Linked DNA regions of Diceros bicornis minor. The protein of the gene in region 2 purifies or fractionates together with the protein of the main gene of each other region. This does not show direct contact. Links are inferred from orthologs where the notes say so. Each region holds a gene or a part of one and is shown on either strand. Other genes may lie near its edges. The genes, in order: CDK2AP1 and ZNF219.

What was found.
Region 1: the proteins of ZNF219 (region 2) and CDK2AP1 purify together in Homo sapiens (affinity purification with mass spectrometry; 3 studies listed by BioGRID and IntAct, counting the BioPlex papers as one, with this or other methods). This does not show direct contact. The link is inferred for Diceros bicornis minor from reciprocal best matches to the Homo sapiens genes ZNF219 and CDK2AP1.

Annotation. Positions count from the first base shown.
Region 1 is NC_080774.1:7,090,806-7,106,898, reverse strand, and holds the start of CDK2AP1 (cyclin-dependent kinase 2-associated protein 1), read right to left. Parts: upstream 5,864-16,093; 5' UTR 5,643-5,863; coding exon 5,588-5,642; intron 1,043-5,587; coding exon 945-1,042; intron 1-944. UniProt on the Homo sapiens protein: Inhibitor of cyclin-dependent kinase CDK2. Also acts as a component of the histone deacetylase NuRD complex which participates in the remodeling of chromatin.
Region 2 is NC_080744.1:28,178,306-28,193,854, reverse strand, and holds the start of ZNF219 (zinc finger protein 219), read right to left. Parts: upstream 7,733-15,549; 5' UTR 7,614-7,732; intron 6,986-7,613; coding exon of another isoform or gene 6,734-6,985; intron 6,312-6,733; coding exon of another isoform or gene 6,231-6,311; intron 5,868-6,230; coding exon of another isoform or gene 5,721-5,867; intron 5,600-5,720; coding exon of another isoform or gene 5,489-5,599; intron 5,208-5,488; coding exon of another isoform or gene 5,151-5,207; intron 5,062-5,150; coding exon of another isoform or gene 4,951-5,061; intron 4,566-4,950; coding exon of another isoform or gene 4,458-4,565; exon of another isoform or gene 4,427-4,457; intron 4,303-4,426; exon of another isoform or gene 2,158-4,302; intron 2,021-2,157; exon of another isoform or gene 1,688-2,020; intron 805-1,687; exon of another isoform or gene 726-804; intron 1-725. UniProt on the Homo sapiens protein: Transcriptional regulator. Recognizes and binds 2 copies of the core DNA sequence motif 5'-GGGGG-3'. Binds to the HMGN1 promoter and may repress HMGN1 expression. Regulates SNCA expression in primary cortical neurons.

The DNA.
Region 1 (16,093 bases), on a different chromosome or scaffold from region 2:
CCGGCGCCTCCTCTTGGCCTCCCGGTCCTGCCTCCTCTCCAGGCTGCGCCTCCCCCTGTCCTCCCACCGCCGCCGCCGCTTCTTCAGGCGGTCCCGCTCCCGGGCCCACTCCTGCCTCTCCTCCCAGGACAGAACGGCCTGGCGGGGCATGGCCAGGGAGCCACCACCTCAACCTGAGCGACAGCCCCATGGTGACCTCAGAACGTGGCCGAGTTCCAGCCACGGGAGAGAATCTTGCGGCTGATGCATGGCACCCAGGGCTGCACCGGGCCAGGTCCCTCCCCATGGCAGCAGTTCCCTGGCCGGTGCCGGCCGTGGCTAAAGCTATGGCTTACTCCACTGACGTGCCTACCAACCCAGGGAAGTTGGTACGAGTGTTAACCCCACTTGACTGTAGGAAACTGAGTCTCAGTGAGGTTGCCAAGTGGGGGTCACAGTCTCGTAAGTGGTGGCACCAAGTGTAAACCCAAGTGGCCTCACTCAGGGACCACCAGCTCTCCATGAAACGCATCTGGACTCCATGAGGAGACAGGCCCCAACCTCCTCTTTTCTGGGGCCAGACTTTGTGGGGACTGATGGGAATGGGGTCCCCCCTCCTCTGTCAAGCCCAGATCTAGAGTCAAAGTCAGGGCCTACCTTCCCAGGAATCAGGCACGAGGAGACCCACCAGGGATACACATCAGGTGGTGGCCCCAACAGGAACTGTGGCTCTCAGGGCTTCGGGCCTTCCCTGGGCTCTCCCACCCCTCCCATCTCTCATGTCCACCTCTCTGTTCTGATGCCAAGGCCTTGGGTTGAGGAGGCCCACATGACTGCTCCACTCTGTCATTTCTACTCCTCATCTCTTCCACCCACTCCCCTCCCCAGACGATGGGGAGCGTGTCCCCTCAGTGCCCAGGCCACCCCAGAGCCCCTCCCACCATGCATCAGCCCTGCTGCCATACCTGGGTGTAGCCTAGAGATGGTGGCCCGTAGTCACTCAACAGCTGGCGGTACTGTGAGGATGTTGCCATACTAGTGGAGGGCGGGTGGACGCTCCCAGCTATGGGGAAGGAGAGAAGAGTCAGGAATCACAATCAGGTAGCCTTGGCTAGTGGTACCCAAAGTGAGGACTCTGGGTCCTGCAACAGTCCCTCTGCCCAGGACCCATGCCATCAACAGTGGTCTTTTCACAGGATAGAGAACCGCTCCTGTCCTCTAGTTTGGTCGTGGCTGACACTCAGCCTAGATGATTGATAATAAAACGTAGCTAACAGGCCACTGCTCTTCACACCACCACAGCAGACATCGCTAATCAATCACAGAACTCCTTCCCATCCATGCAGTCAGGATTGGTACCAAGGATGAAATCTGCTGCTGTTCTCAGCCTAATCCTTGCTAGTACCCTTTCCCTGGGTTCTGCTCCCCAGAGGTTAATAACCTAGAGTCACATCGCTGTCACAAGAGCCCACCTGCTACTGAGGCTGGTCCACACTGGGGCTAGGAGGTCCTGTGTGCCCAAATGTCTGCTGGACTATATATGGTGAGGAAAACAGGGGGAGGGTTTGGAAGATCTGAGACCCAACCCTGGCTGGAGACAGTGCACTGGACTCAAAGTCAGGAATCTGGGGTATATCACAGCCTCCCTGTGTGTCCTCAGACAAGCCCCTCAACCTCTCTGAGCCCATTGCCTCCTCCCCAAAGAGGGGACAGGACTTTTGACAGTCTGATTCTACGCCTGGATGGCTCGCACCCCAAAAGAGGAGGGGTAAGGCCCTGCTTACGGACTGCAACACTCAGAGACTGTCCCTCAGCAGTGAGGGACTATGTGGGGCCAGGGCCCGGCTCAGAATGGAATCTCCTGGATGGGTATGGGAAGGTCCTCAGCAGGGAATTTTCCGGCTCCAGCTCAGTAGCTGGAAGCACGCAGACCCATAATGGCGCCCGGGTGGCCATTAGCGGGTAAAGGATGTCCTGCAGAATTACAAACAGCAGTAACCATGGAGAATTTACCTAGCCCTCCTCGGCAGCTGCCCGCCTGCCTCCACGCCCGGCTGAGGAGTAGCTCCCCCTCTGCCTGCCTCCCCCAGAGCCAAACGGTCTCTCTCGCACGCACACAGCAGGCTGCGCAGACTTGGCCCTGGGGATGGACAGCTGGTGCCAGGATGGCCAAAGCGACCAGCTGCCCATCTGGTGTGGGCAAGGGGAGGGGCAGGGGAGGAAGGAAGTTCAGGAGCTCAGGCAGATGGAGCTGGAAGGGGCCCTAGAGGGCCCTGGAGCCCCTCCCTGTAGAGAAACACAGACCAGTGAGGGTAGGCGTTGCCCCAGGCCACACAGCACAGGAGAGGCCAACACCCCAACGCCCGCCCCTCTGTCTGGGAGCTGGGGACAGCTTGGTACCCAAGACGTCTTCCTCCGTCACAGCCCTGCCCTGGATCTCCCCACAGGGGCCTAGGTTTATGCTCAAGCACGGGACACCCAGTCAGGAAACACAGAATTCTGCCACCTCTAGGCTGGGAACTGGGCACATCACTGTGCTGCCCGGAGCCTCAGCTGCCATCCGCCTGCGCTGCTGGAACGTGCTGCTCAGGACAGGGACACACTGTGAGCATGTCTGCGACCTCCGTCCAAGGCAGCCGCGGGTGCACAGGGGCCAGAGCAGAGGGATGGGGCAGGGTGGGTGTCCCCCCATGCTCCCCTCCACATCAGCCAAACCCCAATTTCCTGAACATTCTGATGTGGGCAGTGAGCATGGTCTGGGTCGCTCAGGCTTCGCAGCCCCAGACCTGGGTTCCAATCCTGACCACGGCAAGTTATCGCACCCCTCTAGGAGGCCAGGATGCTAAATGGAGACTGGGGGGGTGGGGGCATGTATCACTGCACTGCACTTCACTGTGTCTGGAAGATTTCACTCCCTGGCAGGAGGTGAGTCCTCCTCCTCTGGTTGCTCTCTTTACTGAGTTCCCGCCTCCCTGACCCGTCTCCTCTCCTATGGGCACAGGCCTGGACTAGGGGCTGGTCTGGCTGAGCCTGACACACCTGGCTGTGAGACCTTAGACAAGGCCCTTCCCTCTCTGGGCCTCAGTTTCTCCATCTGTTTGAGGCAACGTTCCCAGCAGAATGCCCAAAGGCTCCAGATCCTGCTCTTACATGGTGCTGGGGTTAGGTCTTGGGGGGCTAAGGGAGAGGGTCGAGGAATGAGAAATCGCCTGGTTTGGGGTGGGGGAGGAGCTGGGCAACAGCTCAGGCACCTGGGTGACGTGGTGGGAGACCCCGGTTCTGTGCCAGTGCCCATCCGTTACTCTGTGTTGAGAGGGGGGTGTCTGTGGTCCTGGAGAGAGTTGGCAGAAGGGCCCCGAGTTCCACTCGTGCCCACTCCTTCCTGCAGGCACAGGGAGGGCCAGCGGGTCGGGCTGCAGGAGGCCAGGGAGAAAGCCAGACTGGGTGTGAGCATGGCCTTCTTGGAGCATCGCAGACAATGCGTGCAGTGTGCGGGGACCAGGGAGGGCCTGGAGCCGAGGGAGGGATTGGCAGAGGCCAGCAGCTCCTGGGGCCAGGCGCAGCTCCCCGCCCCCACGCCAGACAAAGAGCGGCCTGGGCCTGGGGAGCTGGCGGCCTTCCCGCCACTTGGGGCGCCTGGGGGGGCGCTCTCCGGCAGGGAGGCGGGGGCTTTGTCTAACTCAGCCACTGCCACCGCCGGCCAGGCCGCGGCTTGGCAACCCGTGAGCAGGAGGCAGGGCTGGAGGGCGTGAGGGATGATGACAAGGAAGCCGGAGGAGCGGCTGCGGAGAGTCCATCTTGGATGCAAATGGCAGGGGGAGATCAGGGCTTCCTAAGGGGTCCACGGGGAGGGGGGAAGACCCCCCCAAAAAAACACCAGAGATCTGGGGACCTCAGCACTGCTCCTGGAATTCACCACAGGAGAAAGAAGAAAACCTGTGTACAGGTGCTAGCCAGACTAGAACAGGGCTTCAGGGGTTCTGAGTGGGTGCCCCTGTCACTCTGTGACCCCAATCCCCAAAGGTCCCAGTTTAGGGCTCTTGCCCCAACTATACCAGGGCAGGCCTGCGAGTTCCCCTCTGTCCAGGCAGGCAGCCAGACCTCCACCCCTCCCACCTCAGAGACAGATGCAGGAGGCATCGAGAATCCTACCTGGCCACAAAGCCTGTCTTGGTGAGGTCTGCAGACCCCAGAGGAGGTGGGGACATCAGAGAAAACAGTGGCTGTTTGCTCTTGGGGTTCAGAGCCCACATCTGACCAATTCAACTATCCCCCCATCCGCACCCTGAATCTTAACCCTTCCAATCCCCAAATCTGTGTCCAAGAAGTTAAAAAATATATGTGTGTGTGTGTGTGTGTGTATACACACACACACACACACACACACATATACATATGGCTTTTCTGGGTCCCTCTTCAGATTTTTGGAGTTACGGAGTCAACGTTTGGAGACAAGGCCCCAAACTTGCGGCCAACTGCCAACGTGGCATTTCTGACCAACAAGGCCAATCCCCTCCCCAAGGCCTCTGCCCCCCCCACCCCCAACGCGCCTCACTTTTTTGCAAGTCTGTTTCCAACCAAGTGTCTAAAGGAGAAGGACCCTGGTGAGCAGACAAAGCCGGTTACCCCTGAACTCCACGATTTTACCTCCCCCCCGATGTCTCCCTCGGTCCCTGGGGCAAGCCCCTGGGCACAGCCTGAAGCTGCCGAGCAACTTTTGAAGGAGTTTCCGGAGACCGCCCCGCTCCAGCCCCGAGGGGAGAGGATGGCCCCCCGGCTTCTGCAGGAGGGGGCCTTCTAGGTCCAGACTGGGGGCTCCGCGATGCGGGGCCCGGGCTGAAGTGCAGCCCCCATTCACCGCCCGCAGGCACTCAGAAGCCCCCGGTCTTCTCCAACTGCTTTCACTCTGCGCACGCCTGCGGGGTCCTCCCTTGTGCCCTGTTCTGGGACCCCCGCTCCCGCGCGCCAGGCCGAGCCCCACGGACGAGCCAGTGCCCTGCACCGCCGGTGACCCCAGCCACCCCGCGCCCTCAGGAGCCGCTGCACCTGGCACGCCGCCGCCCCCCAGCCCTGCCTACGCGTGCCCTGGTCCTGCACACGTGCACCCCTGCAGCCGGGCCCCCCGCCGGGCCTGCCCCCGGCGCCCCAAGGGCAGCCCGAGCCCCGAGCCCCGCGCCCCGCGCCCCGTGCCCTGCTCCCGGCGCGGCCCGGCTGCTCCCCACTCCCGCCGGCAGGGGCCCTCGCCGAGCCGCCCAAAAGCCGGAGGAAAAAGGAGCAGAGAAAAGCCTCCCCCGCCCTCGCCCGCCGCGCTCCCCGCGAGCCCTCGGCCGCCGGCGTGGGGGGGACGGCGGGGGCCGCCCGCGCCCCGAGCCCCGGCGCTGGCCCCGGCCCACCGCGGCGCGGGGCGCACCCGCGAACTTTGGCGGCGCGGGCGCTGGAATCATGGCGGCGGCGGCGGCGGCCGCGCTGCCCCGGGCCGGGACCCGGTGCCCGCCGCCCCCAGCCGCCGCGGGCCCCCGGGAGCCGGGGCCGGGGCCAGGCGCGCGGGCCTCCAACTTGGCGGCACTTGGGGCGCGGCGCGCGCGGCCCGCGGGGCGCACCCACTCACCGGCGTTGAGGGAGGCGGCGGGCATGTGCGCGGTCAAGTTCGGTTTGTAAGACATCCCCCCGAGCGGCGGGGCGCGCCGGGGCGCAGCGGGGCCAGGCCCGCGAGGGCGGCGGCGGCGGCGAGGCCGGGCGGCGGCGAGGCGGCCCCGGCGTCCGTGCGCCCGTCCGTGCGCCCGCCGAGCTCCCGCGCACTTTTTGTTGTTGACGGCTCGGGCCGCACCGGCAAATATGGCCGTCCCTCACCCTGACACCCGCTGCAGTATATCACCCATACATCGGGCGGGCGCGCGGGCGCAGGGGCGGCCGCAAACTTTGAGCGGAGCCAGCGGGGCCGGCCCGGGCCGGGAGGGGGCGGCCCGGCGCGCCGCGGCCCGGCGTCAGGGGGTGGCTCCGCCCGCGGCCGCGCCCCGCGCCTCCGGGCGCGCTCGGCGCCCGCAACTTGGCAAAGTTTGGGGGGCTGGGGTCCCGGCGGCGCCCGAGGCCCGCGTGGGTCCCTTGCTTCCTCCTCGCTTTCAGCGCCGGGAGATTTGCTATTTTACCGCTTAATTTTTTTTTTTTAATAGCTCGGTAGGATTGCAGAATTACTTTTTTTCCCCTTGATTGTGGGGGCAGGGATGGAAAATTACCTGGAGAAAATGGTGGCGAGTGGTATTTTTAAGCACATAGATCATTCCAGACGCCGAGGTCTGGCTACTCCCCAGAAGAAGAGCAACCAATTCTTGACATTGATTTCAAATAAATTTCATGTCCCTGTCTGTGTTCAGTGGTTTTTAACCCTTTGGGGGCCTAGACTCCCTTGACACTGACAAAAGTGAGGGGCCTCCTCCCCTGCAAAATTCACCCTCGCATCCACATAGTTTTGCATCTTAACTCATTCAAATATTTAAGAAGCGCCTACTGTGTGCCGGCAGGGTTCCAGGCGCTAAGGACACAAGAATGAACTTGGCAAAGTTTCTACTCTCCTGGAGTTGGCATTATAATTTTTAACCCTCCCTCGACCCCACCCCAGCCCATCCTCAGATCTGCCTGAAGCGCAATCATCAAACATTTTGGATTAGATGACTAAGCTTTTGAAGGTACTGCTTCTTGGAGTTCTGCTTAAATAGTAAAGCTCGTCAAACTACAAGATACCCACCCTTTTCTGCCGTTTTTAATTGCCATGCTTTGCAGATGTTTAAATTAGAGACATTCAGACACATCTGGATCTACTGAGGAGGGCGTCAACCTCTCCGCCCAGGAGAGAAGGGATACCACCCATGCCTTCCCTTCCGATGGAAGGTGCAAGTGACACCCCCTCCCCAGCTTAACGAGCACCTCTGGTGATCAGCTTTAGGCTAGCTCAGCCAAGAGTGCCCAGTGAAATTTCATTTCTTGAATAAATTAATGACACCCCTTTCTACCCTGCCTCCAGGGGCCCAATACTCTAGAGCAGCATTGTCCAGCAGAAATATATTACAAGCCACATATGTAATTTAAAGTTTTTTAGTAGTCACATTTTAGAAAGTAAAAAGAAACTGGTGAAATTCATCTTAATAATATATTTTATTTAACAATATATCCAGAACAGTATGATTTCAATATGTAATGAATATAAAGAAATTATTAAGATACTTTATGTTCTTTTTATGGTACTAAGTCTTCAAAACCCAGCGTGTATTTGACACTCACAGCTTACCTTAATTCAGACCAGCCACATGTCACGCGCTCAGTGGCCACAATAGCTAGCAGCTTCCTATTGGACAGTGCAGGGCTACAAGCTACAAGCAGGGGGCTCATAAGACAGACACACCTGGGTACTAATTCTGCCTCCACCACCTGTTAGCTGTTTGACTAGGCCTCTGTTTCCTTGGGGCAAGAATCCAGATCTCAGTGGCCTGCGCTGATCCCTTCTATGAATTTTCCAGGCTATTCTCTTTCAATACTGCATTTTTTACCACATCGCCCATCCCCCTCACTTTAAGTCCCGATTATCACTGAAAAAAATTTTTTCCTTTTGTTTTTAATTGAGATATAATTCCTTTAGCATAAAATTCATCCTTTTAAAGTATACAATTCAGTGGGTTTTAGTATATTCACAGAGTTGTGCAACCACCACCACTATCTAATTCTAGAACATTTCTGTCACCCCAAAAAGAAACTCCATACCCAATAGCAGTCATTTCTCATTCCCCACTACCTGCAGCTTTACGCAACCGCTAATCTACTTTTCTGTCTCTATGTATGTGCATAGTCTGGACATTTCATATAAATGGAATCCTACAATATGTGACCTTTTGTGTCTGGCTTCTTTCACTCAGCATAATGTTTTCAAGGTTCATCCATGTTGTAGCATGTATCAGTACTTCATTCCTTTCTATGGCTGAATCATATTCCACTGTATGGAGAGACCACATTCTGTTTATCCATCTTGATGGACATTTGAGTTGTTTCTATTTTTTGATTATTATGGATAGAGCTGCTATGAACATTTATGTACAAGTTTTTGTGTGAACATGTTTTCAGTTCTTTGTGGTATATACCCAGGAGTGGAATTGCTGGGTCATATGGTAACTCTATGTGTAACTTTTTTTTTTTTTTAATTTTATTTTCCCCCCAAAGCCCCAGTAGATAGTTGTATGTCATAGCTGCACATCCTTCTAGCTGCTGTATGTGGGACGCGGCCTCAGCATGGCCAGAGAAGCGGTGCGTCGGTGCACGCCCGGGATCCGAACCCGGGCCGCCAGCAGTGGAGAGCGCGCACTTAACTGCTAAGCCACGGGGCCGGGCCGGCCCCCTCTATGTGTAACTTTTTGAGGAACTACCAAATTACTTTCCTTCCTGGCTGCACCATTTTGCATTCCCACTAGCAGTGTATAAGAGTTCTAATTTCTTCATATCCTCAGCAAGCCTTTTATTATCTGGCTTTTTTGTTTTAGGCATCCTAGTGGGTGTGAACTGGTTTTGATTTGCCTTTCTTTAATGGATAATGATATTGAGCATCTTTCCATGTGCTTACTGGCAATTTGTATATCTTTTTTGGAGAAATGTCTATTTCAATCCTTTACCCTTTTTTAATTGAATTTTTTTGTTGTTGCTTTTTTTGGTGAGGAAGATTAGCCTGAGCTAACATCCGTTACCAATCCTTCTCTTTTTGCTGAGGAAGATTGGCCCTGGGCTAACATCCATGCCCATCTTCCTCTACTTTATATGGGACGCCACGACAGCATGGCTTGATAAGCAATGCGTCGGTGCGCGCCCGGGATCTGAACCTGCGAACCCCAGGCCGCCAAAGAGAAGCTCGAGAACTTAACCCCTACACCACTGGGCCAGCCTCCTAATTGAGTTTTTTTTTTAACGTTAAGTTGTAAGAGTTCTTTATTCTGGATACTAGTCTGTTCACAGATACATAATTTGCAAATATTTTCTCCCATTCTGAGTTGCCTTTTCATTTTCTTGATAGTGCCCTTTGACACATACAAGTTTTAAATTTTGCTTAAGTTCAACTTTTTTCTTTTGTTTGTTTGTGCTTTTGGTATCATATCTAATCCAAGGTCACGAAGATTTTTACCTGTTTTTTCTTTGAAGAGTTTTTATAGTTTTTGTTCTTACGTTTTGGTCTTTGATCCATTTTTAGTTAATTTTTGTGTATGAGGTGAGGTAGGTCCAAATTCATGCTTTGCATGTGGATATCCAGCTGTCCCAGCACCATTTCTTGAAAAGACTATTCTTGGGGGCCTGCCCGTGGCTTAGCGGTTAAGTGCGCACGCTCTGCTACTGGCAGCCCCGGTTCGGATCCCAGGCACGCACCGACGCACTGCTTCTCTGGCCATGCTGAGGCCGCGTCCCACATACAGCGACTAGAGGGATGTGCAGCTATGACATACAACTATCTACTGGGGCTTGGGGGAGAAAAAGGGGGAAAAAGAAAAAGAAAAAACTATTCTTTCCCCATTGAATGGGTCCCACACCTTTGTTGAAAATCAATTTGATGGTGAATATGAGGGTTTATTCCTGGACTTTCAATTCTATTCCATTGATCTATCTGTCTATCCTTATGCCACAACACACTGCTTTGATTACTGTGGCTTTGTAGTGAGCTTTGAATTCAGAAAGTGTGAGTGCTCCAACTTTTTCTTTTTCAAGATTGTTTTGGTTATTCTGGGTCCCTTGCATCTCCCTATGAGTTTTATGATCAGCTTGTCCATTTTTGCAAAAAAAAAAAAGGCAACTGGAATTTTAATAGAGCTCATATTAAATCTGTGCATCAATTCAGGGAGTATTGCCACCTTAACTGCATGCTGTCTTCCAATCCACAAACGCAGGATGTCTTTCCATTTATTTAGGTCTTATTTCTTTAATTCAACAATGTTTTATAGTTTTCAGTGTAGAAGTCTTATACTTCTTTGGTTAAATTTATTCCCAAGTATTTCATTATTTTTGGTGCAATTGTAAGTAGAATTGTTTTCTTAATTTTTGGATTGTTCATTGTTAGTGTATAGAAATACAACTGATTTTTGTATATTGTCTTATATCCTGCAACTTTCCTGAACTCACTTATTAGCTCTAGTAGTTTTTTTGTGTCTGTACGTAAATTCTTTAGGGCTTTCTGTAGTGAGATCATATTATTTGCAAATAGTTTTACTCTTCCCTCCCAAATGGGATGTCTTTATTCCTCTTTCTCGCCTAACTGCCATGACTGGAGCCTCGAGGACACTGTTGGATAGAACTGGTGAGAGCAGGCATCCTTGTCTTGTTCCTGATCTTAAAGGGGGGAAAGATTTGTTTTTCACCACTATGTTTGATGTAAACTGTGGGCTTTTCATCGATGCCCTTTATGAAGTTGAGGAAGTTCCCCTCCATTCCTCCAGTTTGTTGTTCTAGCATGAAAGAGAGTTGGATTTTGTCAAATGCTTTTTCTGCATCTGTTGAGAAGGTCATGAGTTTTCTCCTTTATTCAACAAATATTTATTGAGAGTCTTCCAAAGTGTCAGGCACTATTCTAGGGGCAGCAGGGCAAGACAATCCCCATGTTGTCATGAAGCTTATTGTTCTAGGCATGGCAGCCACATTTAGCTATCCCCTCATACCCCACCACACTGGAGCCATTTCCTTACCCCTAGCCTCCCACTAGTTCTTATTCTTCAGACCAGACTGGGTTATGACCCTGGTACTGGTTCATTCCCACATCTGAACTTTCATTATACCAACTTGCCCTTGTGCTCCACTTGGCAAACTCCTGCTCATCCTTCAAAGCCCAGCTCAACCATCCCCACCTCTGAAAAGTCTTCCCTGGCTGGCTGCCCCTCTGTCAATGCCTGCTATGGCACTTAATCCGGTCTGTGTCCTTCATGAGGCTGAGCTTCTTGAAGGAAAGAACTACATTCTTGAAGGTTCCAGACAGGCACATTGAGCCTTATAATGGCCTCAAAGTGCTCCTAGAAATGAGACAAAGTGTGATCAGCTCTCCTCTGCAGGAAGGACTCCTGCTCTCACCATTCTTCCTGCTCACAACTCTTTCCATAACAGATGTCTTAGTTTCCTGGGGCTGCCATAACAAATTACCACTAACTTGGTGGCTTAAAACAACAGAAATTTCTTCTCTCACAGTTCTGGAGGCCAGAAGTCTGAAATCAAGGTTTTGGCAGGGCCAGGCTCCCTCCAGAGACTCTAGGGGAGGGGCCCTCGCCTCTTCAGCTTCCAGGGATTCCAGGTGTTCCTTGGCTTGTGGCAGCATCACTCCCATCCTGCCTTCAGACAGCCTTCTTCTCTATGTGTCTTCTCTTCTCTTCTAAGAATACTTGTCATTGGATTTAAGACCCACCCTAATCCAGAATGATCTCGTCAAGACCTTAAATAGTTAACATCTGCAAAGACCTTTTTTTTTTAAAAAAGGTCACATTTACAGATCCCAGGTGGACATATCTTTTGGCGGCCACCATTCAACCCACTACAACAGGCTTCAAAAAGGATCTGGATTGTTTTCCCTTTCTCTTCTTCCTTCTCTAAGAGTTAAAACCCCTACAAGGGGAAAGAAATATTCCTAGTGGCTCCACTAACAAGCATCTGTATGAAACTCACTCAAATAGGCACCTTTTAATGAGGAGTTTCCAAATGATCCAGAATGGTTCCCTAATAGTTTAATGGGCATTTCACAGAGTGGCTTGCCAGGGAGCAGAGCAGATGAATGAAAGAGAGAGAAGGGGGAGCCCAGGGAAAGAGCTTGGCATGGAAGAACATCAGGAGACGAGTTTCAGCTGTGGATCCACCATAAACCTCTCTGTAGGCCTCACATCAGTTGTTTAAACTCCCTGGGCCTTAGTTGCATCTGTGAGACTAGGGAGGTTTGATGGGATGGAGCTCTAAGAATTCTCGAAATTCTAACATCCTAAGAAGGCAGACAAACAACACACATGCCATTTTCTCTAATGAAAAAACATCAGCCCAGGAAGGCCTTTGAAACATTTGGAACTGTTTCCATCACTGGACAACATTCTGGGGCAATCAGCTCCCAACTGGGGTGCACCTGCCCAGGTGGTAAGAAGGGTGACTCAGAAGAGTGAGGGACTATTAGAACTTCTATTTATGTGGGATTTACCATGTACATATTAGCACAGTAGCACATATATAAGTTACAAATAACTTCCTAAACAGTAGTGGAGGTATGCTCAGAAATTTTTTTTTTTTACTTTTTATTTATTTTTTTGGTGAGGAAGATTGGCCCTGAGCCAACATCTGTTGCCCATCGTCCTCCTTTCTGCTTGAGGAACATTGTCCCTAAGGTAACATCTGTGCTAGTCTTCCTCTATTTTGCATGTGGGACGCCACCACAGCACAGTTTCAATGAGCGGTGTGTAGGTCCACACCTGGCATCCAAACCCACAAACACCAGGCCACCGAGGCAGAGTGCACAAACTTAACCACTACACCATCAGGCCAGCCCGGTTTTTTTTTTAATTGGAATATGTGACCAAAAATGTTTGCAGACCACTGACCCAAAAAACTAGTTAAGTAGATGGCCAGACCTAACAGTGTGACAGCCAGACAAGTTGTGGGTGAAGTGTCTTGATTAGCCTGTCACAGTTAGGGATTCCAATGTGGTTTATGTCTTCAGGACAGTAAAGCCACATTTATATCAAGTTGGGTTTTGATCAGAGGTCCACTCCCAAATTTCTTAATTTTCAATTATGTTTCTGCCATCACTCCTGTGTTTAGACTAGGAGCCAGCATGCTTTTCCTGTAAAGGGTCAAATACTAAGTACTGTAGGCTTTGCGGGCGGTATAGTCTCTAATACACAGCTCTGCCACTGTAGTGCTAAAGCGGCCTGAGACAATACGTAAAAGAATGGGCAGGACTGGGTTCCAATAAAACTTTATTTATGAACACAAATTTGAATTTCATGTAATTTTCACATGATACAAAACTTCTTTTTTTCCAACCATTTAGGAAAGTAAAAATTATTCTTAGCTTGCAGGATCAAAAACAGGTGGTGGACTGGATTTGACCGGCAGACCAGTTGGCCAGTCTGTTTTAGACCACAAAAGTTTGTTTCTTAAGGCTGATTCCCTATGGGTAGAACAATAAAAATGGGATGTGCAAGCATGTGAGGACATCATGACCCCATCTTCATATCCATACCTCTGAATGAGAAACACACATGCAAAAACACCCAACTGTGGGAACAGAAAACTAAAAGAAACCCAATATTAATGCAGGAATTGAGAGCACTGTCTCATTTATCTTGATCTATGACTAGAGATGAAAGGGGGAGATGAAAGGGGGAATTCTAGTGGCCTCCTATTGCTCTAATCAGTGGGCATCTACACAAAACACTTAACTTTCTACTGAAGGTTCATGCTGTTGAATTTCCCAATTTCCTACAATTAATAATTTATTCTAGTTTGGATTTCTCCAGTAATTAAAGGGCTCGCACATCGATCTTTGGGAAAATCAGTCTTGCCTGGAACCAAAGGTAAACAACAGAAGCTAGAGCATTTTTGTGATGCTCAAAACTTACCCTCTCAAGTTCCCCAAGAAAGGATCCTGAAGAAACTGGCACGAATGACTGCCATGGAGAGAGGAACGGGGCCAGCGGCAGGGGCAGAGAGAAAACAATGTTCGCTGTCTGTTCTCATCTGCCTGTTGACTTGTCATGTGCGGGTGTTGCTTATTCAAGCAAACAACCCATCGAAAACATAAAAATTAAGTATCCAGACTACTTGAGCATCCCCCTCGCCATCCCATCCTTGCCTGATACTCGGTGGTGATCCTTAACTCAAGGACGATGGTTTGGAACACACAGCGTGGCACTCGCCTCTCCTAACCCAGTAATGCACTCGACACCCCGAGTGGGCGGCTTTCAGAGGATGAAGCCAACTTGCCGAGAGTTGGACTCTAAAAATAAGCATTTTGCACATTTCTTTTAGCCTCCTTTCTCTCCATAAAGGCCTCCACAGATGGCTTCTTTACATCACGCTCTCAAATGACTAGCTGATAAATATTCATACTTATGGAAATTGTATTGTACACACTCCAAACCCCGAGCCACTTAACGTTCGTTTTTTCTATATATCAGGGGTGGTGCCCCCTTGACATGGGCCTTGTCCTCCGGAAAACACACACTGGTGTGTGCACACACACAGATCACAGACACCAGCTTTTTGCCTCTTTGTGACTATTTTGCCTAGGGCAGTGGTTCTCACCCAGGGGTGATTTTGCTCCTCAGAGGACGTTTGGCAATGTCTGGAGACATCTGGGGTTGTCACAACTGGCAGTGGGGGCTGCAGTGTGTACTACTGGCCTCTGGCGGATGGAGGCCAGGGATGCTGCTCGACAGCCTGCAATGCACAGGACGGCATGCCCCCACCCCCGGAATGGCCTGGCCCAAATGCCAGCAGCAAGGAGGCCCAGGGGCACACGGCGAGGCTGAACACAGACCTGGGCACAGATAAAAAGCCCGAAGGGAACAGGGTCCAAGCAAACTAGAACTGTAACAGAAAAAGTGGGGATGGTGGAGGCTCCATATGAAGTCTGGTCTCTCATTTCTGATTCAAATTAATACTCAACTTATTAAGGTTATAACATTTAAAAACAAGTTTCCTTTCAGACTTCAAGCTCAACTTACAAATATTTGAGTAAAATTTAAGTTAAAATGTAAAACACTCCCTTTCACTTGTTCTTCAGTTAATGCTCAATTATCTCATGTATTTAACAGATTAAATTCCCCTGAACGTTAACACCATTTACAAATTTGATTCAATTCCCTTAAGCATTTCAAGCTACAAATTGAATGCTTCTCTCAAGCATTTCAAACCCCACGTAGAGAAGACTCACAAACAAGCCATATTCCAAACATTAAAAAAAAATCCATCCGTGCCTCCCCATCCTCCCTCCCTCCCACTGCCTTTCTCCAGGTCTAGAGGACAGAAGCGTTGCCTCCTGGCCCAGACCACCTGGGTTGGATGGGACCCCACTCCTTGCTGGCTCCCTCACCTCTATGCCTGTCTCTTCATCCGTAAAGCGAGAGTGAGGGTACTCACACCTCACAGGGGCAGGGAGGATTTAATCACATACACACATAAGGCAAAGGCATCTAGTCGCTCTTCGCAGGTGCCAAACCGTTCTTTCTGTGGTGTCTTCCCTCTGATGGGGCTTCTTGGCCAATCATTATTTTTCTATCAATGAGCCCCAGAGCTCAGTACTAGCATAAAGAGCCACCCTCCTTTCTCTCCATCCACTTCAGCTTCCTCAGGGCAATCTGGTGCCAGTGCGACGGTCAGCCATCGGAGTTAACGCACCGAGGGCCCCCACCCTCAGGCACACGTAGCATTCCTCATGTTTTCTTCCTAACTCCCAGGACCACCAGAATCTTAGCAGTTCACTTGTTTACCGTCTCCAACATCAGAATAACTACCCATGAGGAATGGCTGCTGGGGACAGCACGTGGCCCAATGCGAGACACACAGCAGTTGCTTATTAAACACTAACTGAACAAATATTAATACAAGCACCAATTCCACAAAAATTAGAAACTAAAAGGACTTTCATAGCTTCTGAGCAAAGTAACTTCACCTGAAGAGTAGAGAAGGATCGAGGACTACGGAAACGGATACAGACAGCACTCCACAGGGAAGGGCAAACATGAGTGCTCGACATTCCCTGACAGTTGTCTACTAGTTTCTGTTTTGTTGTTTCATAAGCAGAGCTCAAATCCCGGACTCACAGACTGGATGGTTGCTCAACACCAGGAATGCATTTTAAACAGGGAGGCTCGTACCCCCAAGTCCTCCAGCGCAACACGCGTGGCTACTCTCTTGTTTTGTGGCATCTTTCGGGGAAGACACTCTGTGACCTGAGTCTCAGGGACAGCGGTAGGCAGCAGGACCTCAGCCCCGGCCTACAGTGCCGTCTGACTGTGCAGCAGTATGCTAACGAGCGCTGGGCTCCGTTTTATCCACACTGTGAGGAGTCTTCTATCACTCATTTAAAATATAATGCCAACATAAAAGAAGTCCAAGCCCCCAAATGGAA
Region 2 (15,549 bases):
CTGGGAATCAGGGGCTATCTTGCCCTTATTTGGGTTCTATAGGGATGCAGGGCCAGGGGTAGGGATCAGAAATCTTTCCAAAGCAGCAGGCCAATTACTTTTAGGTGCTAGGAGAGCAGGTGGGGAAGGGGCTGTGGACCATCAAACCTTACTGAGTAGGGAAGGATGGAAGGGTTGGTGAGAAGACTCTTGGAAACAACAGGGACAGGTACATAGAACCATCTGCTGACTGGAGGACCACAAAGATTGTCCCTCAAGCCTTGTAGTTCAAAAGTTTTTAGGGTCAGAGTGTATGGGGTAAGGGTTCAGGACTTCTGAGGTATAGTTGTGACTAGGTTCTGTCTCTGGTCATCTCTGATGCTTGATGCTTTTACCTCTGTTGAGAATCCTACACCTCCCAAGTCTGCTAACAATTATGATTAACACTGCACTAGATGGGGTTAAAAGGAAAATGAACTTCTTAGGTGGTCTGGGGTCAAGACCACCTTTATCACTCAGACATGCCAGTAGCTCACTTTTATGGTCTCCTCTCCATGGCCCTCTGAAACTCACTGCTCAGGTGGCTCCTCCAAACTGACTCCACACCACAGCTTGCCCACCTTTTAGACTGAGTTCTTGGTAAAGCCTCCTTCCCTCCATCCTCACTGTTCTGAGTTGGGGGCATGGGCCTCAGTCATGGACTCCAAATGTACAGCAAGAGGTGAGAGGAAGGTACACCTGCTCACCTACTGCCGCCCCACCATGGTGAATCTTATCCCAGAGGCATGTCCCAACTTGACCCCTCTTCTGAAAGTTCTGGAAGACCTGGATTTGGGGGAGGGGGCATGTGGCCAGCCCTAAGTCCCCTAAACTGGAGCTGATCCTAGAAAGGTCAGAGTCTTAGCACCCACATGAACCTCAGTCCTCAGATTAGGGGTGGGGGGCTGGGCAAGAGAGCCTCTGGGAAAATCTCCCTCCCAGAAGTAGGTTGGCCAAGTAGGGCAGGACCTGTGGTCCCGCACAAGAGGTTCTTCTCGCAGCACCCCAGACCCCTCCCGGGGAAGATAAGCCAGAAGGATGATGGGGGGCAGGGTTGGGAGCTTGGGAGGCCAGGGCTCAGCTACCCGGGCCGGGAGAACAAAAGCTGAGTTGCAGCCGCCTCCGCTGCTGCCGCCGGCCGAGCTCTTTGTGACACTTTGTTTGGGACGCAGAGAGGGAAGCACCCCCCATCCTCTCCCCTCCCCCACCCTCGCTCCCGGAGAGTTTGGGTCCCTTCCCCCTCCTCCATCAGCCCTACCTGGGCCGGGGGGCGCTCATCCACTCGGGCTCCCAGATCGGCCACCCCGCACCCCCAGGCCCCTCGCGCCCTGCCTTCGGGCCCCTACAAAGACGCCCACCGACCCCCCACCCGCGCTGGCCTTTCCCCTTTGGTGTCCGCTTTCCCGGCTCCCCCACCTGGCCCCCCCCTCCCTCGAGGCCCCCCTAGCTCTCCAGGCTTCCGAGGCCGCCGCCCCCACCCCGCCCCCCCAGGAGCTCTGGGCGAAGTTTGCTTGGGGCCGAGCCGGCGCCCCTCCCCCGCCCCCGCCCCCTGCACCTGCTCCGAGCCGGGCGCGCGGAGCAGGCCCCCCCTCCGGGAGGGGGGGAGGGGGCCGGGGGCGGGGGCCGGGTGGCGGAGGGGGGGCCGGGAGTGGGGGGAGCGGCTACTCACGAGCCCCGGGCGGGCGGCGGCGGAGCGGGCGGCGGCGGCGGCGGCGGGCGGCGGGCCGGCGGCGCGGGCGTCAGCGTTACGTGGGGCCGGGGGAGATGCGCCGGGCCCCGGCCCCCCCGCCCCCGGCCCGGCCCCCGCCCCCTCCCCGGTCCCCCGCCCCCGGCCCTGGCCCGCATTGTGTGCGGCGGGAGGCGGCCCGGCCATTAGCATGCGGGGGGCGGCGCGGCGGGGCTGGGAGCCGCGCGGGAGCGGGAGCGGGGCTCTGGCTCCGGGGACAGGGAGCTGGGGACCCCGGGAGCCGCGAGAGGCGGCCGCCAGGGGCGGGGTGCGGGCAGTTTGGAGACGGGGGGCGCTGTCGGAGGGAGGGAGGGAGGGAGCGGGGGTGGGGCGCACAGACGATTCCAACAGGAGACTGGAAGAGATTTTGAAAGGTCATCTCGTCCTTCCCCCAGCCTCCAAGCAGGACTGCCCCTCCCACCCTAAACCCGGACATACCAGGGAAGGAGTTGGCTCTGCCGCTCTTTCTGCCCCAACATGCACAGACTCGGGAAGTTCTTCCTGGGGTTTTATCTCAAAGCCTCTCCCTTACAATTTCTGTGTCTCTTTTTGGGGAGGAGGAGGGGCGATTATAGAGATAGTTAATGTCTGCCGTATAAGAAACATCATTAAAGTTACTCTTCGGTCCTTTCTGTTCTTGATTAAACAACAATTCCTGCTCCTTCCTCTCGAACTCTCTTTTCCATTCCTTAAGTCACTTTAATGGCTCTTCAGTACAACAAATATTTACTGAGTGCTTACTAAGTACCAGGCACTATGCTTGGCGCTGTGGGGGATGAGCAGATGAGGGGGATGTAGTATCCTCCATCAAGGAGATTGTAATCCAGACAGGGACTACACATTTGTGCGTAGTATATTCAGATTTAGTCAATATTTACTGAATGCCTGTTCACATATTTAATGGTATATAATCCTTACAATAACACTCTGAAATATAACTAGTCTGCACTTAAGGTAAGAAAAACGAGCCTAAAGAATGTCTTTCCGTTGGCCTACCGGCTCAGGGGTCCTCGGTGCAAGCCTAACATCTGACACTATGTCAGGCCATCACCACCAAATACAGTTAATGCACCCGGGGATCCAAGAGGGAGTAGACACACAGCAGTTCCCAGGGTCCCTTTAAATGTGATTCCCACTCCCCAGGAAAGAAGAGTGGACACAGTGCTCCAGTGAGTGTTGGCCCAGCACTGAGCAGGGCAGAAGTGGCTTACAAAGAAAGCTCCTTGCCTCCTAGGACCCTGCCTCCTGGTACTAATTCCCAGGGGTCTTCTGGCTCAGCCTTCTTCTGTCATCAATAATAATAATGATAATAGCCACTAACATTTATTGAGTGCTTTGCCAGGTGCTGGGCTAGGCTGATTCATATGCATTTTCTCTTTTAATATGTACTCAAGGCAACCCCTTGAGACTGGTATTATTAACTTCCCTTTATAGATAGGGAAACAGAATGATTAAGTAACTTGCCCAAGGTCACCCAGGTAGATCTGGGATTTGAACATAAGTCTGGTTGCTTCCAGACCTCAGGCTCTGCACCAAGATGGGCCTTTCCTATTTTTGATCTTTAGAGTATATATGTTCTGCTTCTTACTGTAGAAACAAATGTCCCCAGCTTTGCATCTGAATAAACCCTGTAGTATATGGGCGTCAGGCACATCAGTATGACTTCATCAACACCACTAATGGTCATTAAACACCCACCATGAGTCAACACTTCACAGTCATATTATTAGCCACCGTTTTAACACTCAGTTTGAACAAACTGAGGTTCAAATAGATAGAATAATGTATCCAAGGTCACACAGCTGGGAAAGTGGCAGAGCTGAGATTCCAGTCCAGGTCTGCCTGGCTGCAAGGCAACTTCTATCTCTCAGAAATATTAATTGTTGCAATACTGTCCTTCCCAAGACTGGCCATTTGGGGACCATCTTCTGTACATGTCTAACTGCAGGTTATCACTGAGTCAAAAGCAATCCCCTCTATAAATAGGGCTCCTCATCCACCTAGTCCCATCCAGAGTAAGTCCTTCAAGAAAGGAAGAAGAGAAGAGAAACTGTCCAGAAAGTGAGGGAAGGAAGCCAAGGGAATTAAACCTTGCCTGGTCTTGGGACAAAGCTGCAAGTGGTAATGACAGGGGACCAATCCAGACGGTAATATGGGATTTCCCTAGGGAACAACAAGTAATTTGAGGAGGATGCCAACAGAAGAAGAAAGATTAGATGGAAATGGGGGGAAATTGGGGCCTAGGGTGGTAGTGTCCATGGGGATGAGGTGAGTATTCAGAAGAGGGACCCAGGATGGGCAGAAATGGGGGCAAAAGGAAACGAGAACAGAGCGAGGCAGGGCTGGGAGTCTTGTGGAGTGAACTGAGGCTGGTGTCTACCGACGGCCACTCCCTGGATCCTTAGGCCCTCATGGGGACCTTTGCCCCACCACACCCCAGTTCTGACAGCGTGTCTCTCCCAGGACAAGTCTGTCATCTGCTCTGAGCTACCAGGTCCTGCCAGGAGCTTCAGGCCCAGCTGTGTCCCATCTCTTTTGGAGGAGCTGCTTCAGACTAGGTAGGTGTGAGGCCCTGAGCTTCAACTCCCTGGATATTGGAAGTGGGCAGAGGGGCAGCTGAAAGAAATGTTGCTGCACGTCCTGTCTCCTGATAGGTGTCATAACTCATTTTTCCTGGCCTAGGAAGCACTGAGCTCCATTGGTCGAGGGAGCCATGGAGGAGAGAGCTGATCAACGAGAGCAGGAGAGACCCAGCCTTCGTCTGGAAAAGCTACAGCACTGGGCAAGGCATAGGTGGAGTGGGCACCTCCTGGTGCTGGCGGTGAGGCCAGGCTGCCCCACCCCAAACTTCAGCATGTCCACTTGTAGCCCAATTCAATTCCATCCATGTTTAGTGAGCACCCACCATGTGCCTAAAACTGTGCTAGGCTCTGAGTGGGAGGAGGGGGGTGGAGGAAGCATAGAATAAACAAGGCAAGACCTTTAATCTCCAAGTAGCTTCCATCATTTGGGGAAAACACATAGGTAAGTAACTAAACTGTGACATGAGGCAGAAAAAAATAATGCCCTCTCCCTTCACTGCCCTTGGTTGAGTACTTTCTGCCACCATGCATTCCTCCCAATTGCTGACCTCTGGAAGAGGAGGGGTTGACAGGAGGGAAGGGAATCCCTGACAGTTCCCCAACTACCCTGCATCCGGCCTCCAGGTGAGCCAGCTATGGCTGGCAGTGGCTGTGGTGCCCTTTGCTGTCTCAGTTGCTTGCTTGAACTCTGCCTGTCATATGGCCACAGCACTGCCACTTGGGCCTGGAGCATTGGTAAGACCCACCACAAGGGAGGATGGAAGGTCCTGGGGGCCCCTCTCTAATGGGGCCAGAGCTCAACACTTGCCTTTCTCACCATTCAGGGTCTCCTCACTGGGATTATTACCCTTGAGCTGCGCAGAGCACCCCGCCTCTGGAAGGTGAGAGGGGAAGAGAATGCAGTACTATTCTCCCACCCCCCAAAACAGACACACACACTCTCAGCCCAGGAAGTGGCTAAGTGTTGACTAATCCTGTCAGATCTCTGCCCCTAACTGGCCTAAAAGATTCAGGAGGGAAAGCAAGAAAGTTAGAGGGCTGATGGCCCTGTTTGGAGGTGGAGGAATAGGAGCTGAGTTTTGTTTTCAGCTAGGCTGCAGGTGGGGCTTGGGGTTCCAATGCGTCCCCTAGGCTGGACAGGGCTGAGCTGGCTCACTGGCAGGTGCGGGCCATGATGATATTCAACACCTTCAATCTGATCTTGGGCTTCATCGCAGTGGTGGTCGAGGTGATGAAGACAGCCTTGGGGCCTGCCTCAACTGCCCCCTCCCAGGTACGGGTGAATAAAGGAGAAGGTGGGAGGATGAGGAGGCAAGAGGAGACGGAGAGAGAAAAGGGCATGGGCAAACAGATGCTGGGTCCTCTGCAGCATCCTCAGCCCTGTCTGCCTACAGCTGGCCGGCTTGCTGGTGCTGGAGCTCAGTGCTGAGGCCTTCACCCTAGGAGGAGTGCTGGTCTCAGCATACTCCCTGTTCCTGCTGAGCCAGAGGAAGCCAGGATGCTGCAGGAGCCAGAGTCAGCACTACCAGGAGCTGCAGGAGGTAATGAGGGCTGGGAGGAGAGTTTGGAGCAGCTAGCTAGCAGCTCATTTTTTCACTGGCTATCCTGGTCAGTGGTACTTCAGGGAAAACAAGGGGACAGAGGGGAAAGGAAGGAGTCCTAGACTGAAACTGATTGGTTTTCTGGCTTTGGACATTTCTCCCCCAGTGGTGGGTAAAAGGGAATTGGGTATCTAAATGGTTGGGGCTAGAAATGTGGGAGAGCATTGGGAAGCTGCCTAAGTAGTGGAAGGGCTACAGGAACATGAGAAGAAATGGCAGAGGAGGAGGAAGTTGCTTCTATCTGGGATTCCTCCTTTCTCACCCCTACAGTTTGCTCCCCTCACACCTCTGTCTGGTTTTTAGGGTCTCTCTGAGTTGGAGGAAGTTCCTGATTTGGAGGATGGTCCCAGGGTGGCTAGCACAGCAAACGGAACAAATGAGTGAGCTGGCAAGGGGAAGCAGACAGGTGCTGCTCTCCCGCCCTGCGGGAGCGTTGTCCAAACTCTCCTGCACCCCACCGCACTGAACTCAGAAGCTAGAAGGAGTCCCTTGAGACCTACATGAAGTCCAGCGGAGTGCCTTCGATTTTCACTCACACTAGGCCCCTTTCTAGACTGTAGACCAGAGTCTTCCCTCACCTCATCGCCCTGCAAAGCTGCCCGCTTGCAGAGCATCCTTAAGCCAACTTTGAGCTATGCCCACTTCTTCCCTTCCATCCTTACCCTCCTTCCCCACCGCCTCCCTATACAACTTCACATCTGCCTCATCTCACTATTTCTCTTCTTTCCACCTTTCACAATCCCATCCACTCCAGGCCCGGTTCCTGGAAACGCCTACTCTCTGAAATCAATTCATGGGTGCTTCAGTTCTCTCCCTTCGATCCTTTCTACTGTAACGGAGACTACAAGTCCCAGGAGGCCCCGCTGCCCCGTAGCCTGCTGGGAAATAAAGGGCCTTCCCTCCGCGGTGGGGGCGCTGTGCATCTGCTGAGTGACGCGAGGCGCTGGAAGTTGGGGCCTAGCCGAGTTTCCTCGGACGCGACCACTGGCCTCGTGTGTAGGGAGGAGCGGGGCGGGTTATTGTGCGTGGGGGCGCGACATCCCAACCTCGGCAACTGAGAGCTCACTGTGGGCCCCCACCCTTCCCTCTGGCAGCTTCGGAGACTGGCAGGGGCTGGAGGCTGGCCCTCTGCAGAGCTGGGGTTTCCCAGATGCTGTCGCCGCGCCCCCACCCACCGTGCCCAGGTCCAAAGTCCTGAGACTTGGAGCGCGCGCGAGAAAGGGGTTGGAGATGATGAGTCAGAAGCCTAGGGCCCTTCTCGTCCCCCTCCCCCGAGGCCTGGGCGCCTGAGGAGGACAGGCTCGCTGGGCAGAGGGGTGGACCGGGCAGGAAGAGGGAGGGACGCGGCGACCCGACCCAAAACTTTCCCGCCTCTTGCGAGCACGCGGGTGTAACGAGCCCGCGTTGCCGCCGCCCTTTCTCTCCAAGGCGGGAGCGGGACTGCGCAGGCTCGGCCTCTCGGCAGCCCCGCCGAGACCTTTGATCCCCCTGCAGTCCGGTTCCTGAAGTCTGGTTGCGCTCAACCCCCACCATTTATGACCTTTGCAAGTGTGCAAAGATGACAAGCTCAGGTGGGCTGGAGAAAAGCCCAGGAAAACTGGGAGACCCAGTAGCAGCAGCCGGGCAAGTTACTAGCCGCTAGAGAAACTAGAAATTGACCAGAGCTGGAGTACTGAGAGAACTCACCCCAAATTCACATAGTGCCCAGGATGGTTGTGCGCCTCACACTCATTTTTGTTCCCACTTGAGAAGGCTTCTTTCCCTAGAGAATGCTGCTTCTCCGGGCTCAGCCAAGCCCAGGCACCAGTGAGGAAAGAGCGCAGCCTGGCTGCCTGGCCCTGACATTGCAGTGGTGCCAGCGGCAGCCCCTTTCTGTTTGTGACACCTTGGGAGTGGTAATAGTCGCCCTATGACAAGGGTATGTGAGTACTAGTGGGTGGAGACAATTCTCTAGGATTAGGCTCTGGAATGGAGAACACAAGATCTGGGCCTCCCCCTTCCCCTCCTCCTTCCAATCTATCTGCCATAATGGAGAGCTCAAGTGTGAAGGACTCAGAAAATAATTTTCTTCAAAATCAGAAGGTGGTAGTAGATGTGGGGGGAGGGGCAGGGAATCAATAATTTGCTGTCACCCTCTTCCAGAGAAGAGCAAGAGCCTTTAGCGTTATGATCAGAAGTCTAGGATTTGCATTCTAGTTCTTGGAGAAGTTCAATGACCATGCAAGTGAACCTTGTGTCAGTCAGGTTGGGCTAGGCTATATTGTGTAACAGTGCCCAAATCTCAATGGCTTAAAATCACAAAAGGCTTATCTCTCACACTGCATGTCTAGGGTAGTCTGGCAGAGGGCTCTACTCATTATAAGTTATTCAGGTACCCCAGCCATGGAGCACCACCATTTTGAGATCCTACCATGTCGCCATGAGGCTTAGAGCACCCCCCCACCCCCACCCCAGCCGTGTGAAGTAAGAGTGAAGAATTGTTCATGGGCTCTTAAATGCTCTGCCCCAAAAGGGACACATATCACTTCCATTCACATTTTGGTGGCCAAAGCAAGTCATATAGCCACACTCAACTTCAAGACAGCTAGAAGGGCAATCTTTTCATATGCCTGGAAGGAGAAGGAAAGCAGAAATACTTCATTAAAAGAAGAAGAGTTCATCATTTGTGGTGATTCTCGAACAGCTTAGCAGTTGGAACTCATCCATTCCAGCAGTTATGCCCATATCTACTTTTTGGTTTTGTTCCATGAACCACTAAATCAAGTTCTTAATAGAAACTTTTCCCAAAAAAATAATAGGCCTGGGAATCAGGAAAACTAGATTCTGGTCTTGTTGTGTAAGTTTGGGCAAGTCAAACGTCCCTGAACTACATTTTGATTACATGGAGATTATAATCATAGTATTTATCCTCTCTACCTTACTGGAGTATCAAGGCTAAAATAAAATCACACATTTCGTTTGGAAAGGAAAAATACTTTAAAACTATAAAGTGCTTCAGAGGTTGAAAATAAATTGCCTATGGGGACAAGGAGTAGTGTAAATGAATAAAGCAGATTGGGTATGTATGAGGTTATAATAGAGAGTGGTGGGGACTGTGGCAAACGAGAGAGCACACATTCTATTTAAAGACCTTACCCACACTCAACTCCATCCAATTATTGCCACGTGGGACTGTGGGCCTGGTATTGCCATAGTTCCAATTTTCCTGTAAAAGTCAGAAATTCTGACTTTTTAAATGTGAAATCTTCTGATTTTAAAATGTTAATAACTAACTTTTTAAAAATTGAGAACCAGATTCAGCCTATAGTCCTTCAATTATAGTCTCTCCGTTATACAAACATATGGTAGGAATTTGGGTTTGGGATGTGCAATACGGTTCTCATAAGCCTTCGAGATGTCTTCTGAAATTCAAGAATCTTGGAGAGGTTTAACATTACATTCTTAAAACCTTTTTATCACATCCCTCCACCGCATTCATTCTCAGGGAGAGGGCATTTTGCCCCCCAGGGATTATTTGGCAATGTCTAGAGACATTTTTGGTAGTAACAACTGGGGCGGGGGGGAGATGTAACGGAAGGAGCATTAGATGAGAAGTCAGAGGATTGGAGATTTAGTCTCAATGCTATTGATGCCCCTTTCCTGTGCATTATCCTCTCCTAGCTGTAAGTAAAAACTGCCTGAGGACTGTCCTGTGATCCTCATTATTCCCGCACCACGCTCCCCATTGCTGGAGTCCCCAGCTGCTCCATGAAAGCATTCTGCTTTGCTGCAATGCTTCCCAGCAACCACTGTATCTGCCCCTTTCTTCATCAGTTTGGCAACCTCTGTGGAAGTCACTCATATTTTACTTGAACTGCTGCCCACTGGAACTTCACAGAAAGAAATGACTGGACAATGTTCCTCCTGACGTCAGTTTTTAAAGGCCTTGACCCCTATCCCTTGCTTTAAGCATTGGAGAAATATCCGATTCATATGTGGCTTCATATGCAGCTGAATTCTGTGGTGGTTGGGACATGTTGATAATTTTATCCTCGTTTCTTTGAAATTCAGTCATTTATTCTGGCCTTAAATACATGATTATAGGCAACGGACGGTATTTCCCAAAAGAAATATCCACTTTGCAAATGATTCTGGTTTTGTGTCCTGGGCTGTGTCCTCTGCTGCCATCTCGTGGCCTCTCTTCGCGGCTGCCCGGGTCCAGGTCTCACAAAGAGCCTTCCCGCGAGGTAATGGCGTATGGCAGTGGCTAAATTGGAGAAAAAAATCTCTGCACGCTGCCGGGCGCTCCCCGAATCCTTCCCCTGCAATGAGTGCACCAGGGCAGCCGCGCGCGCGGCTGCACCTCGCGAGGAGGCGGGAGGCGCGGGGCCCTTCCGGGTCATCCTCACCCCCTTGGGCCTCTATGTCTGTCTGTTATGCAATCCTGGACACGAGCCACAGAAATCAGTGAACTAACTACCGGGGAGTAATCGGAGCTGACCTCGCCTGCTTGGCCTGATGAATGCTCCGCAGCCTCTCGCCACACGCCACCTGGGGCTGGGATCTTTTTTTTTAAATTTTTGTTTAATCTCAGTGAGAAGAGAAGATTCCCTCGTTGGGTTTCTGGATTTCGTTTTCTTGTCTGGGACCATTTCGTGTTGCTGTGTCAACGCCCTTCATCTCGGTTTGCCCAGCCAGTGCTGCCTCAAGTTCGGTATTTGACTGATGGGTTAAGCAGAACAGTGGCAGTGTTTCCTATAAATATGGCGGGATCTGTGCACTGTAGCGATCAGAGGTCCATCTCCAGGGGACAGGGAGTCTGGGAGACTGCCGTGAGCTGGGTTACTGGCCACTGAGCAGTGACTCCGTGCAGGAGGGAAGGCAGGAAAACATTTTTACTTGGCGCCAATTTTTTTTCATTATAATAATGTGTTAAAAACCTTCCAATTGCTAAAGCAAATTTGTAGAACTATCCTTCAGTTGTTAGCTCCCCGTGTGTGCTTTCCATATGTTTAGTTTTTTATGGAGAGCCCTGAATCTACTATGCCCTCATTACGCCTAACCCCAGAAGAGGAGAGGGAAGAGGAAGAGGAAGGAAGAGGAGGGGAAGGAGGAAGAGGAGAAGAAGAAGAAACTGCTGCCTTAGTGTTTGTTTTCACCTGCTTTCTCTGTATGAAAATTCAGGGGAAAGGGGGGCCTGCCTGGTGGTGTAGTGGTTAAGTTCTCCGGGTCTGCTTCGGAGGCCCAGGGTTGGCTGGTTCTGATCCTGGGTGTGGACCTACTCACCACTCCTGAGGCCTTGCTGAGGTAGCCTCCCACATAGAAGAGCTACAACTCTTCAACTATGATACACAACTATGTGCTGGGGCTTTGGGGAGAAAAAAGAAAAAAAATTGGGGGGAAAGGGCCTCCTTGTATAATTTCCTAGGGCCTCAAGCCAGGGACTGGCTGCTACTAAGCTGGTGTGTGTTGCTTCTCTTTAAAATTCAGATGCTGTTTACTTAGTAGGAGCATCTTCTGTTTCTTTTGTTTTTCCTTCTTTGCCTGTGTTTTTTCTGCCTTATTTCATTTATATTTTATGTTGCGTGTTATTCTTGATTCTACTTATCATCTGAATCTTTGGTTTCTTTTTCTTATCAGACACTTTTCCTGTATTCTGTCCAGAGTGAATGAGTTGTCTTTGTTGATCCCTGTCTGTTTTTCCTTGCCTTTGTAAAATTTTCTTCTTTAAAATGCTTTTCCTCAAATCCAAGCTCCAAGATATAATTTCATTTGTTTGGCATCTTTATAATTTTGTGCTCCCTTTATGTGTAAAGAAAATGCTGTGCATTTTTAAGGAAAATCTTATGGTTTCGGTAAAGCGAGAAGACTCAAAGTCATGGCATAGAAGAAACAGGATTGATGTCTTTATAAATCTCAAAGATAATTATGATGAAGAGAAACTGTTCTTTGTGAAGCGAAGAAGTGAAGTTGGGTCCAATGGTTACTTGTTATGGAGAGGCCGATTTTAGACCAAAAAAGGGAAGAAACTGAACACCTTTCCAAAGATGAGCTGCTTTGAGTTGGCCTCTCAAACTCTGGATGTGTTAGAGGTGTTTTGTGCAATGCACTTCTGCACTGATAGGTTGTTGAAGCAAGTATTCAAATATCAGCTGGATGGTTGGAGTAGATGACCTTTAATTTCTTCTCCAACACTAGGATTTGGTTTCTCAGCAGTGGTGGTGTTTTTTAATTGACCCGTCCATACTCTCTAATCGGAATGACTGGCCCTAGGCAAAATTGTAAAGTATTCTTCTAGTCCTTAGAAGAGAGTTCATCAACCATGGCACTGCTGACATTTGGGCCAGACCATTCTTTGTTTTGGAAGACTGTCCCAGGCGTTGTAGACTGCTTTGCAGCATCCCTGGCCTCTAACCACCAGATACCAGTAGCACCCCTCCCCCAAGTTGTGACAACCAAAAATGTCTCCGGACGTTGTCAAATGTCCCCTGGGGAGCAAAATAGCCCCCTCCTTGAAAACCAATGCCCTAGAGAGAAATGATAAGAAAGATTTCAAGAACTTCTTTATGTCTAATTTCTCCAAGATTCTTGTATTTAAAGAGACGTACAAAGACCTACAAGAAGCTTATTGCACATCCAAAACCGAAAATACTCCCCTTGTATCTGCCGCCTACTCCCTCTTCTGAATTTTCAGTCTTATCTGGTGTTATCATTTGGACACACAAGCTGAATGCTAAATTCCTCTCCCTTGTTTCCTATAGCCAAATACTCATCACATTCTATAGATGTTCCTGCTGCTCTCGAATCATCCTCTTCTCATCACCACCACTCCTGCCCCAGTGCAGGCTCTCATCTAGATCACAGAAAAAGCTTTCTAAATAGTTTCTATGCCTCCAGGCTTGTCCTCCTCAGATACATCTTCCACATAGCCACATAAATGTGACCATGTAGCTTCCCTGCTTAAAAGCCCTCCAGTCGTCCCCATCACCTATAAGATCAAGTCCAAGCTTTTTAAAACGGTTCAGTGACCCCTGTGATCTGGCCCCTGGCTGCCTTTCCAGTGTCATCTCCCACATCCCCTCCCTTGCACTTTACTCTTCAGTGACAGCAATCTGAGGAAGGTGGCATGGGCATGCAGCCTTAAAATTTTTTTAAATTATTAATTAATATGTATGATAAACACTTTCACCCCATCTTTGAGCTTCACGCTCTCCCTCTTCCTCTTTTTTTCTTTTTGATTAGCCCAAGGATGATGATGATGACAGCTCTGACTCATGGTGGGCTGGGTGGAGGTCAGGGCTGTTTGTTGCGCACATTAGTGAGAAGTCAGAACAATGAAAACACTAGTGGGAAGTCAAAGCCATATCACGTCAAAATAGCTAAGTCAAAACATCTGACTTTGGCACATATATTTCTTACTTCCATACCTTATTCAAGCTCTAGTATCTCGTCCTCCCCCCAAACCAGCCCTTTGTATTGCTAACTGCTCCTGATCCTTTATGACTCACCTCTGTCCTCGCCTACTTTCCTGGCCTCTCCCACCACCGCCAAGACTGTACTCTTCAATGCTCCCTTAGTGCTGTATACATAGTTCTATACTTACAAGATTTTATTATGAGGCGGTCAGAATACGCCACCCCGAAATATGCCAATTTAGCATAAGGATTGTTTTGAGCTGAAGGCAAATAAGAAGCAGCAAACTCAGAAAGAGCTCTCCACCCTCCCCCATCTGCCTAAAAGTAGGACATAAATTTCCCTTTGTGAAGGTCTTCCCCCTCCCCGCTCCTGTAGCAGGAGGAGTTATTGCCATTATCACTGCAGACAGAGAGTCAGCACTCTGAAGGGTCTGCACAAACAAACCTCACTAAAATAGCCCTGATCCTCCATCAATTCTCCCATATATTTACTTTCCCACAATTTACCACCCCTAGAAGCCCAAACCCGCTTCCCTTTGTCTTGTGACTTCTCCACAATTTCTTACCCTTTGTTAAAATGGTATATAATCCCCTGTGTCTAATCACCTCTCTGGGCCTTCATTTCTTTTCTATGGAGACCCTTTGTGCGCATAGAAATTAAAATATTAACATCAAATAAAATTTGTATGCCTTTTCTCCTGTTAATTTGGCTTCTGTCAATTTACTTTGCAAGCTCCAGCTACTAAACCTAAGAGGATAGAGAAAAGGATTTTTTCCTCCCCTACAATTGAAATTATCATTTATGTGCCCATCTCTGAGGCAAGAACTGTGTTTTATTCATCTTTATAACTCCAGAACCTAGCCAAGTGAATGGCATATAGGAGACATTCAATAAGTGTCTACCGAATGAATGCATAAATAGACTAAGTCAGAAGGAAACTTACAAGGCTTTCTACTCAGCATAGAAACTCTTGTGCAACATCCTGGCAGACGTTCAGTCTCAGCTAAAACATTAACAGTAATGGTGCCACTGGAGAAAATCGCTCAAACACGGCAGCTGGTGCCACAACAGATTCATCATCTCAAACTGCAACTAGATCCTAAAGGCTACACAATAATACTGCTATTGGAGCCCTCAATTTCCACAGCTGCAACTTCAAGTTTGTTACCTGGTTCTCAATAGTCATTCCAAAGTGCATCTGGAAGAATAAAGAAATGATAATAATGGAAGGAAGGAAGGAAGGAAGGAAGGAAGGAAGGAAGGAAGGAAGGAAGGAAGGAAGGAGGGAAGGAAGGAAGGAAGGAGGGAGGGAGAAAGGGTGGGAGTACTCTTACTCTAACAAGAAGAGTAATAAGGTGAGACTTGGTCTATCAGCTATTAATGTATATTAAAGATAAAAAAACTAAGACAGCATGGTATCAGCACCAGAATAGACAGATAGATGAATGGAACAGAACAGAGAGTCAAAAAGAAGCTCAAGAGCTGGCCCCGTGGCTTAGCGGTTAAGTGCATGCGCTCCGCTTCTGGTGGCCCAGGTTCGGATCCCAGGTACGCACCGACGCACTGCTTCTCCGGCTGTGCTGAGGCCGCGTCCCACATACAGCAACTAGAAGGATGTGCAACTATGACATACACCTAACTACTGGGGATTTGGGGGAAAAAAAAAAGGAGGCAATAGATGTTAGCTCAGAGCAGGTCTTCCTCAGCAAAAAAAGAGGAGGATTAGCATGGATGTTAGCTCAGGGCTGATCTTCCTCACAAAAAAAAGAAAAGAAGAAGCAGCTCAAAGGCCAGCCTGGTGGCATAGTCATTAAGTTCGGCATGCTCTGCTTCTGCTGCTCGGGTTCACTGGTTGGGATCCCAGGCATGGACCTACACAACTCATCAGCCATGCTCTAGCAGCGACTCGCATACAAAATAGGGGAAGATTGGCACAGATGTTAGCTCGGGGCCAATCTTCCTCACCAAAAACAAACACAAAACAAAAAAACTCAAGTATCTACAAAAATTTAACTTATTTTAATAGCACTATTTCTTATCATTCAGTTAATTACAAACTGATTTTTTCAATAGATGTTGGAACAACTTCATAACTATTTACAAATAAATTAAGTTACACTTCTCTTACACACCATACACCAAAATAAGTTCTAGATGATTAAAGACTTAAGTGGAAAAATCAGAACCATAACAATATGGGAAAAAATATGGGTAAATATTTATATAA